4 linked regions of the Danio rerio genome follow. The protein of the gene in region 1 interacts with the protein of each later gene in a biochemical or structural test. Links are inferred from orthologs where the notes say so. Each region holds a gene or a part of one and is shown on either strand. Other genes may lie near its edges.

Region 1 (4,024 bases):
ACTGGCAGCTAAACTCCACGCCTTACACTATCGAGCGTGTATACACTCTGACTACTTCTATATTGTTGATTAGCTGCTGGCTATTCGCTCTGTCTCTGGCTGAAAGCAGTTAGTGTCAACCATTCGCAACAGACTGTCATCGGTCCAATCAGCGCAGATTAGCTTCGCGCTAAGGAGGGGTTTGGGAACAATTGAATCACTGGACGATTCATACGGGAGTCGCTGGGATAATTAGGTAAAAATAAATGCAGATAATAAGACCATGAAAGTGTTTTTTGACCTTGCATGCATATTAGACTGTTGTTGGAGACCCTTACAACCAAAATATGACCCTATTTCATGAATAATATGGGCTCTTTAAAGCCTATCACTGTGTGAACATTCAGGCACTAGAAATTGTACCATTTGTAACTTTAATTAATGATATAGTTTTTTTTTAAATTATTTATGAAACTGTACAGTGCTCATTTACATTTAATTATTCGATTTCTGTAGCTAAATACTGTTAGAGTCCCAACAAAAATCATATAGCGCTGTTTATTTTACTTTTAATTTAGCTCTATTGTATTTATCCAAGCGTTTAATGTGTTTATTATATTTCATGAATGATTCTCTCTCCTACAAAACCATCACAATCAGTCCAAATCAATTAAATTGTATTCATATCGCAATTATATATCACAGATGAATAAAATATCGCAATATCATATTTTTTCAATATCGTGCAGCCCTAGGGTTTACATGTCTGCTTACTGCAATTTAAATAACCGCACATCACATACTTTAAAATAATTATAGTTTCTATAATTATGAGCTTAATCCTTCCACTTGATTAAAGTGTTGTGTTTGAATTAAGTTCATTTATGATATTCTGTCACCATTTACTCATTCTCAACTTTTTCCAAACAATATTGAGCTTTATATTACAAAATGTTGGATTTAAATCAAAATATGGATATGTTGGAAACCTGTAACCACAGACTTTCATAGCATGCTTTTCCTAACTTGTTACAGGTTTCCAACATACTTCAAAATATCTTCTTTTGTGTTCAACAAAACAACTCAAGTTGGTTTGAAACAAGTAAATAGTAAATGTTAGTAAATGAAAACAGAATTTGAATTCTCCGTGTAAGCTAAAGTGTCAGTATAAGACAAGAAGCTGAAAATAGAAAAGTACAACTAAAAAGAAAATAGAAGAATCAGACTAGAACTAATCATTTACATTCATTAAAAGACAAACATTTATTAGGGTATCCCTACTAAGTATTCGTTCTAATTAAGAATTTTGGTGGCAAACAGAAAGCATTGATAAGTTAAGCCACAAGGCCTATATTAATGGAGATTAATTCAGTCTTTATAAAATGGTGCTCACTGTTCATTTTTAGAAAAATCTGTATCCCTTTTATTGCATTTATATTGCCAATGAAATCAAGAACAGAATGGAATCCAAGTAGCGTCTGTAAATCATTGATGCAAAGCACTAGTGAAGCATATCAAAAACACACAAGAGATATGTCAACTATTACTTGTTAACTTCTGCTAGCATATAATCACAAATAATTAAATGGTACAAACTTTAAGTGATCAAATATATATATATATATATATATATATATATATATATATATATATATATATATATATTTTTTTTTTTTTTTTTTTTAATGAATTTCAAAATAAGATCTAGCTTTTAGACAAGCACTGGTAAAATTCAATGAAATAGTTGTTATTATAAATTGATCTTGTAATATGCCAAGTGATTCTTTTCCAAAATATGCTTGACAAAACATTTGTCCTATAAACTACTGTCACGTTTTACTGTGTTTTCTGTAAACGTATGTACTCTCACCAATACAAAAATTCATAAGAGCTCAGAATAAATTAGACAAACTCTGAAAAAGACACAAACCGCAACAAATAATTTTTCTCAACACCCTAACATAATGTGATAGTACATTATGAGTGACAGTTGCACAAAACTACATTACTATTTTAACCCCTTACATTTATATAAAACCTACTGATGTGTGTTGACACATACCCAAACATTAGCATGACTCATAAACCAACCACTTTGAAAACTCCTGACTGAGGTTATAATTTCAAAGGAAAACTTACCTCACACTGGCACATGAGGTTTAGGAAACTTAATGAAAACCAATTAAAATGTCTATGTCTCAAAAACTGCCAACCCAGTAGACAACATTTTGGGCCAAAAGTGCTGTCTAGGGTAGGCATCTGAGACAGCAGAATTCATGTGAATGTGTGTAAAGGACTCTTCGTTTTGCCTCAGCATTTGTTTACAGCTTTAGGTCTCCATAATATACTTCTTAACACATTAAACGCACTAAGTATTTAATTCATGAACATTTATATGGCGATATTGTTTTGTAAACAGCATCAATAGATTAGCAATGCTAGGTAGCAAGCTCGTTAGCTTCAGGTACCCTTCCTTGTAAACTGCCGCTAAGAGGAACTATTAATACCATAATGTCAACCAAACGTACGTCATTTAAATATAACCTGAAAATCAAGACAAACATTTGTTATTAACCCACTACTGTTATTCTCCGAGGCTTTTGAGATATAATGATGTAAAATGGCTACCTATTCTTAACTGGTGTGTAATATCACAAAAATGTCTCTCTTCCTTATCGACACATTGCCAGACACGTCCATTTAGTTTTCATTTATGTCAAACCGGGACGCCTGACACGTGTTTAAAGATTTTTAGTCTTACCTGTGTGTGTTTGTAACGTCGAGCAGTGTGAGGTCGAGGCCCTGCGCTCAGTCTGTGTGTGTTTGACTGGAGATGACTGGGAATTCCGTATTAGAGCGAGTGAAACGTCATACGCCACAGCGCAGAGACACACAGCGACGCCTACTGTCCACTCACCGTAGTACACCAGCTGCGTAGGAGCTTCACTCTTTCAGGTGCCAGGAACCACTTTGACCATTCCTGCTGCGAATGACTCAAAAAATGTGTGTAAAACCCACCAGTGGTGGAAAGAGTACTGAAAAATCATACTCATGTGAAAGTACCATTACTTGCCTAAAAATGTAGTTGAAAGTAGAGTAAAAGTATCTGTTGTAAATATTACTCAGTCAGTGAGTGGTGGAAAGAGAACTGAAAAATCATACTCAAGTAAAAGTACCATTACTTGCTTAAAATGTAGTGGAAGTAGAGTAAAAGTATCTGTTGTAAATATTACTCAAAGTATGAGTAAACCTTCCAAAAAAAAGTAGACCTTCCAAAAGTACTCGAGAGTAGTGACTAGTGAGTATTACGCTGTAAAAAGCTGATTTGTTTACATGTAATTTGTGCATGTGTGTGTAAACGTAACATTCTGTAGTGCATTTAGTTATTGCCCAGCAGGCACACGACATCATAAGACGTTAATACTAGGTTAGATTTAGGTTGTGATGTCAGGTGACCAAAATTCAATAGCCAGGGTCTAGGGATGTTATTTTGATGTCCAATAATGACGTCAAATGACGGTGATATTTGGTTGATTTTAGGTTGTGTTGGAAAGTGACCAAAATCCAACGTCCAGCCAACATCTAAAACCAATGTCATTGACGTCAAGTACTGACACTTATTCGTCAGGTATGGAAACCAAAATCCAACGTCTGATAGACGTAGTGGTAACATCCACACAACAACAAGCTGTAACATCATTAGACGTTGATATTTGGTATAGGTTGGACATTGACGTTAGGGTACAATGTCAATCTGACATGATGTTGATGTCTTGCGTCTTTGATTAAGGCCATTTTGGTCATCATACAGTAAACATCCTTAATTTTTTTTTCAAAGACATGCATCTAAACAGCCTCTGGGTCAATGCATGTAAAAATTTAGACATCTTGGACATGTTTAATGCTTCCAAACTGTTTGCTGAAATTATAAATCGCCCTTGTCTTGAGGTAGTTCATTGTGATGCGATTTAACTTCTTTGTGTGATTTGATTGGACACGAATCACAAGACAGTTTTTCTAATCTCCATAAACAACAGAAAAGTAG
Region 2 (4,192 bases), on another chromosome or scaffold:
CAATGCAGTCTATTTCTATAGGTCAAAGATGAGATTCCATTTTGGTGTCTGCATCAGATTATATCTACAAAAGTGATTATGCAAATAAAGTGCATATACTTTTTTTTTATGTGTAAAATATTGTTTAAAAAGTAACAAATGGGTCAGATTGTGTTATATCATTATTCAGAGTAAATTATATACATGTAAAAATGCAACAACATACTTATTCTCATGTAATTATTAAAATATATATAAAAGGACTTTGCTAATGCATTTTAAATTATATTGTAAATTATTTCAAATTGTATTGCTGGAAAATGGCCAAAACCTAGTTGTGGAAACAGCACTGGCCAAAAAAGGTGCAAATGATAATTAGTTGGTATTAGTCATGTCATGTCATCAATTGATTTTTGTTATAATTAATATAATTTGTTTGGTTGCATTTGTACAGATTGAATTGTAAAAGTGCACAATTACATTATTATTATTATTTTTATTATTATTAACTTAATCTACTTATTTTCTAAAATAAATAAATCGCTTAAAGCAGAGGTGCCCAAACTCGGTCCTGGAGGGCCAGTGTCCTGCATAGTTTAGCTCCAACTTTCTTCAACACACCTGTCTGGAAGTATCTAGTATAGCTAGAAAGAGCTTGATTAGCTGGTTCAGGTGTGTTTAATTGATGTTGAAACTAAAATATGCAGGACAACGACCCTCCAGGACTGAGTTTGGGCACCCCTGGCCTAAACAGTACATTTTACTATCCCCACTCACTATTTTCATGTTGTAACAGCCTTTTTTACCCTCAGTACTCACATTTCTGTGTACCTACTGTAATAGTAGGTCATTTCAACAATAATACAATTTAAAGGTTACTTTGAAAGTGCTCCAGCATCACTTTAGGATGTTTCATTTACTGCAAATAATAGAATGACTATATAAAGATGTTTTTATTTACCATTCACAGCATCATTTGAATACGTTACAAATCTATTTATCAACATATATACTAATGACACAACCACTGACTGTATTGATCTTACTAACTTATTAAATTTGTTATTTCCCAACAATTTATATTTCTTTATTTTATTTTTTATTAGTACTGTCTCACTGTGGCAACTAATATCTGAGGTAACTTTTACAAACAGCATATTCAAAGACTTTTTAAAGCATCATAACTTTAAATCAAGCTCCTTTGTAATTTACACCCCAGCTTATTTAGTGTGTGAAAGTCCTTACTGTACTTAACAATTCACTTCACCTAAAAATGTCACAGTAAAAAATACCATTTAAAAACAGACATGTTCTAAGAACGTGAATAAAATTTGTTGATTTCAATGCAGGTAATACTCAAGTGCAGTTTCTGAAATATTAATAAAATGCACATTATTTGTCAGCGTTACTGTACTAGACTTAAATTTAAGATTTTAAAATGAAGAATTTCTCAGTTTTCTAAACAGTTTTTAACAGCAGTAAAATTGTTTAAATTACATAACAAATTTTATTTCATATTTAATTCAAGCACTTTTAATGACCTATGTTTGTTTTTAGGTACTTGTCAGGCCTTGAATAAATACGTGTAAAATTCATTTACTTTCAAAAAGTGTGGGACCCCTTTGGTTTGTATTTTCCTAAACAGCACCATTTTCAGTGTAGTTATTTATTTATATGCTTACATAACTACCTATTTGCCGTTATGGCTGTACTATTAATTCTACTGATTACACAATAAATATGTTATTTATAGTAAAATTTAAATAATTGAATACTTGTCATGGTGTATGCAGCTGATGTCAAAATGATTTACCCCATTATTAACCCCCATTTGATATATATATATATTTTTTTATTATTATTTGTATTTTTGAATATTTACCCAAATGATGTTAACAGAGCAAGTAATTTTTCACTGTATGTCTGATAATGTTTTTTTATTTGTTTTATTTCGGCTAGAATAAAAGCAGTTTTTATTTTTTTTTAAACCATTTTAAGGACAAAATTATTAGCCCCTTTCAGCTATTTTTTTGATACAGTCTACAGAACAAACCATCATTATAGAAATAACTCGCCTGATTACTCTAACCTGCCTAGGTAACCCAAATTAACCAAGTTAACCCTTAAAATTTCCCATTAATCTGTATAGAAGTGTCTTGAAAAATATCTAATCAAATATTATGTGCTGTTATCATGGCAAAGATAAAATAAATCAGTAATAAGAAATGAGTTATTAAAACTATTATGTTCAGAAAGGTGTTATTTTTTTCTCTTCGTTAAACATAAGATGGGGAAAAAATAAACAGGGGGGCTAATAATTCTGGCTTCAACTGCACTTAAAATGTGTAAAAGCATCTGCAATTAAATGTGCCAAAGTTATTTGCATAAACTGTGGAGACAATTTAGAGATTTTATTGATTTAAATGCATACTCTAGTGGCTAATACTATGTTATAAAATCTATTCATCAATGTGTTGACATATCAGTTCATCTGCCCATTCTACTAACAGTAATTTATCACCAGCTCATATCACTTTAGTTTTGTAATTATTTCAAGAACAACACTTACACCCTGACCTGTACTTTTTAGTAACATAAGTAGACCCCTTCAAAATAGCCTATTAACGTTACAGTATTTACACTATTATTTTAACCGTTCTCGAGCATTAAAGTTGTCTTCCATGCACTACACTGGTGCAGGCCAAACTAACACAACGACTCCAAAGCAAATAATTTTTCGTTCTCTACCTTCTTTATCTGTTAATCTAGTCTGTAAACATCGTTTCTTACCTCGCAAAAGAAACAGCACCAAAATAAAACTATCATACCGTCCACCTTTCTCTACCACTGGCGCGATGAGGGCAGCTGCCGTAAACATTTAAATGTTGTGACAGAAAATGTCGTGCTTTTACACCCTTTGCGACAGTCTTTAAGGGGCGGATCAGACGTACACGCCTCTTTCTCAAGCTCGTCGTTGATTGGCTTGTTGTCGTGACGCGTCTAGTTACGTATTTGTTCTGTGAAAGGCAGCCACCGCCCATCGCCGCAGCTGACCCCGCCCATCCGCCGAGTCCAAGAGCCGCAGCGAGTACGCGCAGCGCGCGCTTGAACGCTGATGAGAAGCAGCACTGATTAAGCAGAAAAAACAGAAAGGAGTTTCAGCGAGCGACTCCCACGAGAAAAGAAACGGCGCACTGTTAGGAATTTTCAATGGGGAAAAAGCCTGTAGTTTTCTTTTAATCAAAATGGCACAACGGCACGCATGTTTGGACACGGGAAAGTTGCAAAGGACAATCTGAGAGAGACCTTTCTGGGATATTAGAGCTGCGCTGGATTTGATCTGTCCTTAAAGGAGAAGCGCAGCACACTGGATTTTTACACTGAGCTCATAGAGGTGAGGTTTATTCTGTGTTGTTTTTGCACTTATGCTGTCGGCGAACTTATCGTTCCCATTAACCCGACCCGCTGTTGAATCGAAGTTCCCCAGCAGCAGTGGGAGCGAGCGAGACATCAGAGTTTCATCCCTTGCTTTATGTCTGCTTGTCGGGACGTTTGCGCGCTAACTCGTGGCATACGTGCATCACCAAATTGTGATATTTCTCTTGCTTCAGTGTCAGTAGACACCAGGGTAACCGGCGAAGGGTGATATGAGTGTACTTATGTTAGAATAACTTTGAGCTGACATTATAGAGCCGCTGAGTAAACCCCTTTTGAAGTGTGACAGATGTCCTGGGTGGAGACAACGAGGATGATGATGATGATGATGGTGCATGTATTATTGAAGACTTACTTCACCCCAGCACTGCAGTAATCACGGGGCAAATCTGCACAGTCATCCGGACCCTGTCACAATGTTTCATTTCCCTTTCATTCACTGGTCTATTTTTGGACAATCAGTGGTCCTAGTAGTATTTGTGGACTTAAGGGTGTATCGATGCCATTGCATTTATTTGGTGGACTAGTATACAAAGTTGCTACTGTTAACAAATGATACTGCTGCTTTTTTGTTTTATAAATTTGTCTTAGTCAGTTTGTTTGACCTTTATTCATCTGATGTTGCAGTGATTTGAATAGTGGATGTGTGAAGTTCACTTTTAGGTGTTCTCAGAGTAGCCAGAAATGTTCATCACGTTAGCAACATTTGACATTGAGGTTAAGTTGGTTTTATATGTGCACATTCGTTCAGTGACAACTTTTGACATGCTCCCTGTAT
Region 3 (4,213 bases), on another chromosome or scaffold:
TTTACATCACTCGAGCTCTGCAGGGTCTGTTTAAGATAGTCTGAGTGTTTTATATGTTGTTACAGACACACAGAATCATCCTGCAACTGTTCTGCAGCATATGACGTGTCCCAAACACTGTTTTAACCGTCCATAATGGGCAAAAATGTTGATTTCACTCTCTGATAGTCAAAACATGTTCAAAATATTCCTATATTAAATATGCATTACAGACAGGCAGGAAACAGTGTTTATGTACATTCAGTCCACATATATGAACATCACTTTCCTCTAAAAGTACATCTTATCAGAAGATGATCCTCACGTTTTATTCTAATCAGCTTCCAATAAGCCCAAATAGCAAAGAGAAATGAGAGATGCATGTAGAAACAGCCTGAGCATTAAGAGATGAATGTGTTCAGCTGGAAGAAGATGGAGATGAGCAACAGTGTAAAGCTGCACACCATACCTCAGTATATTTAGACAGACGTTTCCCTCCAGGTCAATGTTGGGGTGATAAACCATCGTTTCACACTTGACTTTGGGGGGGTCGTGCGGATAACCCTGCCCTACCTAAAGGAGAAACACGTCAGAAAAACCTTCCCACAACGGCAGAGATCAGCGCACGGAAGTTTCACAACATCACTCACATACAGATCAGAACACTACAGAAACAAGCAGAACAGTGTGAGTGCAGCGGCGACAGCACACTGGAGAGAGCTGGACACGGACGCGCCGCTCGCCCCTCTGCTGCTCACCTTAAAACTGAAGACGAACTTCCCTCCTTTATAGAAACCCTGAGGAAAGAAGACGAGCAGCGGTCAGTACAGCGCTTCCCCAGATCAGCACACACACACACACACACACACACACACACACTCCTCAGCACACAGAACACACACCTCGTCTGGAGAGATGATGAGCTTAAAGTTCAGCAGGTCGTCCTGGTCTGGAAAGACGATCTCGCAGGTCTTCGGGAGGTTCAGCTCATTGATGTCTGACAAAGAGAAACAGCAGCATTAGCTTTTCTCTAACACACACACACACTTGTTTTTGTGAAAAGCGGGGACATTACATAGGTTTCCATTAATTTTATACTGTTCAAACCGTATACAGTATTGCCCTAACCCGAGCCATCACAGGAGCCGGTGTGCAGCTTTACTCTCTCCCTCACTCAGTGGGATTTAGAAGCTTTTGGAGAAATGAGGACGTCACCAATGTCCACAGATTTCACCTTTTTGTAATACCCGTGTTACACCTGTCATATACAGATTTGTGTCCTGATATGTCACAAAAACACACGTGCACACCTCTCTGCTCCACCACGGCTGCTTCATCTCCTGCTGTTCTTCATCAGTGTGGGCCAGTACAGTCATTATTGATGAGCAGAAGCACACAGAGGAGGTGCTGATCTCCACACTCCTCCATCAGCCGTCTGTGTTGATCAGGGCTTGTCATCATGTGTTTATGTGTTGTGGCCATGTCAGCCGCAGCGTAGATTAACAAGTCATACAACAACACATGAACTACAGCATCATACAGGCAGTGCCATCACCCAGAGCTCAGCGTCCCATGATCCTCGTCTGCGCAGGCTGATTCTGATTGGCTGTCGGTGGTTTGTACAGAAGCAGTGGGGCTGTTCCTCTGCATCTTCAGCTTCTGTTCACGCTCATCTAAATATTAAAGCCGCGTCATTGTTGTTACAGCGGTCGTGATTGGGTCTTAAAACAAGACTCAAAGTGTGTAAGAGTGTTAAAGGGTCCCGCAGGAGAGCTCTGCTCATGTACACACCGCTCACCTCTCAAAGCAGCACATCTGAACAACACTGCAAACTTTCAGGTCCAGAGTAGGAAAAACCAACACCGGAAGTCAAAGCCAGATTCCTCCAGCATTCTTCACACTATCTTCTTTTGTGTTTATTAGAAGTAACTCACAGGTGTGGAGCAAATAAAGCGTGAGTGATGGAGAACAGCCGAAAACACACTGTGCTTTATTAACTTAACTGAGGACACTTCCCTGGAACAGTTAAAACAGTGTGTGTGTGTGTGTGTGTGTGTGTGTGTGTGTGTGTGTGTGTGTGTGTGTGTGTGTGTGTGTGTGTGTGTTTAAAGCCGTTTCTCCTCATCAGTATCGGCTGTGTTTCCTCAGCCGAGTTGGTGTTTCTGCTGAATGGGGACCAGACTCTGCTCAGCTGTATGAACACACACACACACTCACTCCAGTTTGACTGTTACTGTGTGTGTGATATCGTGTGGATGGTTTGTGGAGCACAGCAGATCTTTGCTGAAGGTCTCCTCTGGTTATGAACAGCTCCAGCTCTCCTCCTCCTCCGGGTCTGTAGGCCTCAGTGTTTTGACTGAGACTTAAACTTTACCTCTCCGCGGGCAGAAACGCAGAGTTGTCCGCGCAGCTCGACGGTTGATCGGTGTTCTCCTCCTGCTCGGACTGTGAATGTCTAAACTGTCTGTTTTGTCTTGTTTTATGGGCCAGAATCTCCGAGGAGCGCCGGATGTTGTTAGCGCGCGGCTAATGCTAACGCTATCGCTGTTTCTCCTCAGCGACCCGGTCGGCGGCCCCGCGGCTGTGCGAGCTCCGGTACCGGCCCGGTGTGTTTGCGTGCGTGTATATGTGTGTGCGCGAGAGCAAGAGTGTGTGTGTGTCTCTCACCCTTCTGTATCCGCAGCTGGGCCGCGCTCGCCTTCTTCCCGCCGCCCCCCGCGCGCGGCCCGCCGGCTGACTCCTCGTCCTTCTTCTGCTGCTTCAGCGAGAAAAGCTTGATCATCTTCGGCCTCTGCAGAGCAAACAGCGCGGTGTGTTCGGGAGCTGCGCTCTGAGGGAGAGAGAGTGTGTGTGTGTGTGTGTGTGAGTGTGTTTCACAGCAGCTGTAGAGGGAGCCGGTGTGTGTGAGTCAGTCTCTCTCTCTCTCTCTCTCTCTCCCTGTGTGAGTGTGTGTGTTAGCCGCAAATGCTAGCTCTGTTCACACACTGTTCTTTCAGCTGATTTCAGAACACAATTAACTAGACAGAAACCGCAAACTTATACTTTAAAGTTAATAAATCTTCTTATTGTTGATAGTGTTGTTGTTGTCAAGATGAATGTTTTTTTAATAACAGCTATTATATAATTGTGTCAGTTTTATCATAAATCTGCGGTGATACTGAAAGCGGATGTTTTGGGTAGGGCACCGGCGGACCACATTTCCCATAGTGCCGTTCGGCGGTGACCAGAGGACTGGGAGGAGCTTTGCTATTTTTTTACTCTCCATATTTTTTATTTACCATATTTATTTATTTATTTGATTTCGGGGAGCAGAATCGCATGTGATGGCGTCAGCGTCCTGTCAGAGGTTGTGGCCCGTTTCCCGCGTCTGCTGCTGAATGAACGCGGATCCGCCATCAGACGCGCAGCAGCACAATAGCGGAGCGCGAACAAAAGACACGTTTATCCGCCGCTGCGCTCCCGAACACCGGCCTGCGGATCCACACGGCGGGGATTGAGCGGCTGGAGGGCTGAGGGACCGGGATCAGCCTCTCGGTGTCGGTAACGGCTCGGTGAGAGGGCTGAGCAGCAGAAACACGGAAGCTCATTGTGTTCCGCCGCAGAAACAGTCCGATGCTCGGCCAGAGAGTATGCGCCTCCACACGAGCAGGTGAGGGCACTAGATAGGCTGCTTCTCTAACGGCAGTCCTGTGTGCTGCTCAGCTAGTCATCTGTGTGTGTGTGTGTGTGTGTGTGTGTGTGTGTGTGTGTGTGTGTGTGTGTGTGTGTGAGGGAGAGAACTGCTCATTTAAACTAACCCACCCTGGGCCAAATTCTCTTCCCTCAGCTGCTGGTTAGGGTTAGTAGCGCTGCTGGATGGAGCTGCTAACCTGCTAACTAGCGTGTCTGTTTATTTGTGTGTGTGTGTGTGTGTTTCAGACCTGCGATCTGCTGCCGCTGGACTGTGTGAGGGTTGGTTAGCTGGTTAGCGCTTTCTCTCTCTCTCTCTCTCTCTCTCTCTCTCTCTCTCTCTCTCTCTCTCTCTCTCTCTCTCTCTCTGCTGTGTGTGTGTGTGTGTGTGTGTGTTCATCCACTGATGGTAAAGCTGTGCTTGTGATGAACGTGTGTTCTCTGCTCTGCTTCTGTCATTTAGGCCCTTATTTCACCTGTCTGTGTGTGTGTGTGTGACAGCGTAACCCACATACTGTATAAATGCCATGGTAACCACAGTGCCAGTAGTTACCTCAGTCATCCA
Region 4 (3,568 bases), on another chromosome or scaffold:
ATGGTTAAATCGGAATATCATGAAGCTACTAGAATAATTTTCTGCACACATAAACCAAGAATAACAACATTATTCAACGGTTTCATTTCCTCAGTGTCAGTATAGAGTGCACATTCATGAGAAGGCGTATTCGAGATATATGTCAGCAGCACGACCAAGTGCAAAATGCAGAACAGCACTCTCATGAATGTGCACCCTATACAAACACTGAGGAAAAGAAACTTGTGAATGAAGTTGGCATGGGCCGGTATAAGATTCTAAGGGCATGATAACCTTAGATAAAAATGTCACTGCTCCAAAATAAGTTCATTTAAATGTCTAGGTAAAAAGCTACAACTATTTTTGCCAATGGAACACAGTTTACTTTATTTAAAGAAACATTGAAAATATTTTAGATTAGTAGTTTTTGATGGGGAGGTTTTATCTTCTGATGAAGATACAGTTGTAAGTAAATAGTTATGAAAAACGTGAAAAAAAACAAAAAAATAAAACGATGTTTTTTTTTTTTATGGTGAACTAACTCTTTACACCATACGTCTAAAGCTCAATTCCTGGATTGCCGCAGCTTTGCATAGTTCGACTCCAACCCTAATCAAACACAGCTGATCCAACTAATTAAGGTGTTCAAGACTACTGAGTGGTACAGTACGGTACGGTACACTTTTATGGCCGCTTCCACTGTCAATGTACCTAAAAACAATACGTACTGTACCACTTTTTGGGTACACTTTTGGAAGGCTATTGGTTTATAGAGATACATCACTAGTTCGTGGAAAAGCAGCAGAATGAAAACAAAGGAACCGCTATTTTTTTAAACACAGCTGAGACATTACACCATAATAATATATACATATAATTACCAGCCATGGTCAACCTGAGCTTAAACAAAACTTGTCGTCATCTTGATAAACAGTCACAAAGCCAAGATGAAGAGCAGAATCTACTATTGGTACCCCTTTGGCAGTGGAAACACAAGCCTGCTAAAGGTGACCCGTACTGCACCGTACTGTACCACTCAATGGAAACAGGCTATTAAGCAGGTGTGAGTTGGAGGTAGAGCTGCGGCCCTCCAGGAATTAGGTTTGAGACCACTGCACCATGATTAAGAATATACAAATGTTATTGAAAGGAATGTTTACTACATATAATCCACATGTTTGGCAAACCACCCTGGTAGTGTCTCATTAAACCTCAATATTAGTAGACATCATCAGAAGCCACTGGTATTATTTTGTTTTGCATGTGTATGTTTTTTGACTCTCTAAGTACCAATAGATATGCGTTTCCACAGTTCCTCCACCGTTTCATCTAAAACATTTCTTTAACGTTCTACTATACACAAAAAAAAATCTTGGGTGGTCTGAGGGTTAGTAAAGTTACAGCAGTTTTTCCTTTCTGAGTGAACTAAATAGCAGAGAGTAGCCTAAATTTAGCTGACATTTTCCCTGCCTTCTAGACATTATCAAGTCAAATTACATCAACTCAGCCAATTTTGATCTGATTATACCTTTTCTAGATTACATAAAAAAGTCCAAAGAATAGCACAATGACTGAATATGACTGATTTTGCCCACATACCTGCATATTCATAAAACCACTCTAAACATCTCTTGCTAGAAAAAGCTTCGGCTTCCTGGATTTGCAATGCCTCCTGTTTTCTGTAAACACTGAAAAAAACAGACAGGACAAAGCGACGGCTATTTAAACACACATTAGCACACACTTGTACACAGATTAAGGCACAAGCATGATGCATCTGATACAAATAAGAAGAGACACATGCTCTGAGGGCAGAAATCCACCCACACAAACACAGATCTGGTGGTACAATTAGCAGTTATGAAAGTTATGCAACTTTCTTTTAACATTACTGTAGAGATCTGTTTCTGTCATGGATAAATGCTAATCCTAATTGATCTGACAGAATCCTAGTTGACTTACTCAATTAAAGGCTGGGTAGATGAATGAGCGTTTGTTAGGGCTGCACAATATATCGTTTCAGCATCGATAATGCAATACAACTATTGCAGATGCGCACATTGCAGGATCTGCAATGTCAGATATGACTTATTGTTGACCAGGAGCTTGTAGACTAATGGCAAAGTTGAATAATTCTGGATTTAGAGTTTATTAGTTGCATTTCCCCTTTCTTTTTCTCTCTGTTAAACATCAAATGAGTTTAAACCATGCAAGCACAAGAAACTGCTTTAACAAGGACTAATTCAATTAGATTTCATAGTGACTATATGGACACAATGGGCTATATGCACAGCTAGTGTTTTTCAGCCAATGATAAACTTTCAGTGAAAGCTTAATGTGACTATTTTCAATTTCATAAGGTTCCTTTTACAGCACTGATGTTGTAATGTAATAACAATACATTCAGTTAAAGAGACTTAAGCATTCGATTAATTGTTCAATTATGAAATAAGAAGAAAACCGCAGTCAGTATCAGCAGGTTAGCGCAGAAACTCCATTGAAAATACTGGGGCAAAATAAACTGTCATATTTTAAAGACATGGCAGGGGAAATGGATTAAATGCAGTGCTTCTTGTCCGGTCTGAGACCCACTTCATATCATATATCTATCAGGCAGTGATGATCACTGATTTGTAAAGAAATCAGACCTTAAACCTGGCAATTTTACAATGGAAAGAGAGTTTACCGGATGAGCTGAGGCTGCCTGGCTGAAATGAAAAGTCTGTGTGCATATACGCCATTACAATATTTTTATCCAACTGCCATTAATACCAGACACATATAAAACACTTGTTATTTCTCATTTGTATGTTTCCCCCATCATAAAAATCTATTTTAAAGTTCATTTTAATAATTTATGTAGATGCACTCCTGTATTAAATCACCCCAAACATTGAGTTCTTCACAAAAACAGTTCTATCCATCTGATAAAATAAATGTTGTATCATTGTATGTGTGTGTGTGTGTGTGTGTGTGAGGGAATAAAAAAAGATGGAAAATGGACTAAAATGAATAGCTGGATAAAAAAGATAACTAGAGAAGAATTGGACTACTAGTGTATAACATAATAACTTGAAAAAATGCCAGAAATTCTTCCAACTACTGAAAAAAAATTCAAACTTTTGGTAAGAAGCAAAAAAGTCAGTACTCAAAAATAGTTTCAGGTTGATCCTTCAACAAGAGGTCAATGGATAGGAATTGTAATAGAATTGCACTGTATGGAGAGACTGACATTTAACCTCAGACTTGATAAAAAAGTACAACAAGTATTGGTAAAATGGACTGAGTTTGTCATTGTAAACAATATGTGATCATGTGCTTCAAATGTATTGTAAATTTTGTAACCCCCATGACAACCACTTTGTTACCCCCCTTTTCTAATTTTATTTATAATTTTTAATCATGTTTTTTTCCTAAATTTTTTTTTTTAAAGAGAAAAAGGGGAAATGAAAAGCTGGAGAAATGTATATATAAAAAAGGTCAATGTTATTTTATTTGAGCATACTTATCCTGCCGGCTCTTCTTAGCAGACAGGTCATCTCCAGCAGTGGGTCTCCTCTTTTTCCTTGGGGGCATGGCTCTGGAGCAG

Evidence for each region.
Region 2: of the proteins of cul1b (region 1) and senp8, one has a biochemical effect on the other in vitro, tested with the Homo sapiens proteins (2 studies listed by BioGRID). The link is inferred for Danio rerio from reciprocal best matches to the Homo sapiens genes CUL1 and SENP8.
Region 3: of the proteins of cul1b (region 1) and si:ch1073-205c8.3, one has a biochemical effect on the other in vitro, tested with the Homo sapiens proteins (7 studies listed by BioGRID). The link is inferred for Danio rerio from reciprocal best matches to the Homo sapiens genes CUL1 and UBE2M.
Region 4: the proteins of cul1b (region 1) and dcun1d4 are reported together in a solved structure, tested with the Homo sapiens proteins (2 studies listed by BioGRID, with this or other methods). The link is inferred for Danio rerio from reciprocal best matches to the Homo sapiens genes CUL1 and DCUN1D4.

The regions. Positions count from the first base shown.
Region 1 is NC_133199.1:21,267,545-21,271,568, forward strand, and holds the start of cul1b (cullin-1b), read right to left. Parts: upstream 2,810-4,024; 5' UTR 2,741-2,809; intron 1-2,740. UniProt on the Homo sapiens protein: Core component of multiple cullin-RING-based SCF (SKP1-CUL1-F-box protein) E3 ubiquitin-protein ligase complexes, which mediate the ubiquitination of proteins involved in cell cycle progression, signal transduction and transcription.
Region 2 is NC_133182.1:57,822,462-57,826,653, forward strand, and holds the start of senp8 (sentrin-specific protease 8), read right to left. Parts: upstream 2,864-4,192; 5' UTR 2,770-2,863; intron 1-2,769. UniProt on the Homo sapiens protein: Protease that catalyzes two essential functions in the NEDD8 pathway: processing of full-length NEDD8 to its mature form and deconjugation of NEDD8 from targeted proteins such as cullins or p53.
Region 3 is NC_133194.1:51,592,684-51,596,896, reverse strand, and holds the start of si:ch1073-205c8.3 (NEDD8-conjugating enzyme Ubc12), read right to left. Parts: upstream 2,860-4,213; 5' UTR 2,762-2,859; coding exon 2,647-2,761; intron 977-2,646; coding exon 882-976; intron 777-881; coding exon 738-776; intron 553-737; coding exon 449-552; intron 1-448.
Region 4 is NC_133195.1:25,817,119-25,820,686, forward strand, and holds part of dcun1d4 (DCN1-like protein 4), read right to left. Parts: coding exon 3,485-3,568; intron 1,668-3,484; coding exon 1,579-1,667; intron 1-1,578. UniProt on the Homo sapiens protein: Contributes to the neddylation of all cullins by transferring NEDD8 from N-terminally acetylated NEDD8-conjugating E2s enzyme to different cullin C-terminal domain-RBX complexes which are necessary for the activation of cullin-RING E3 ubiquitin ligases (CRLs).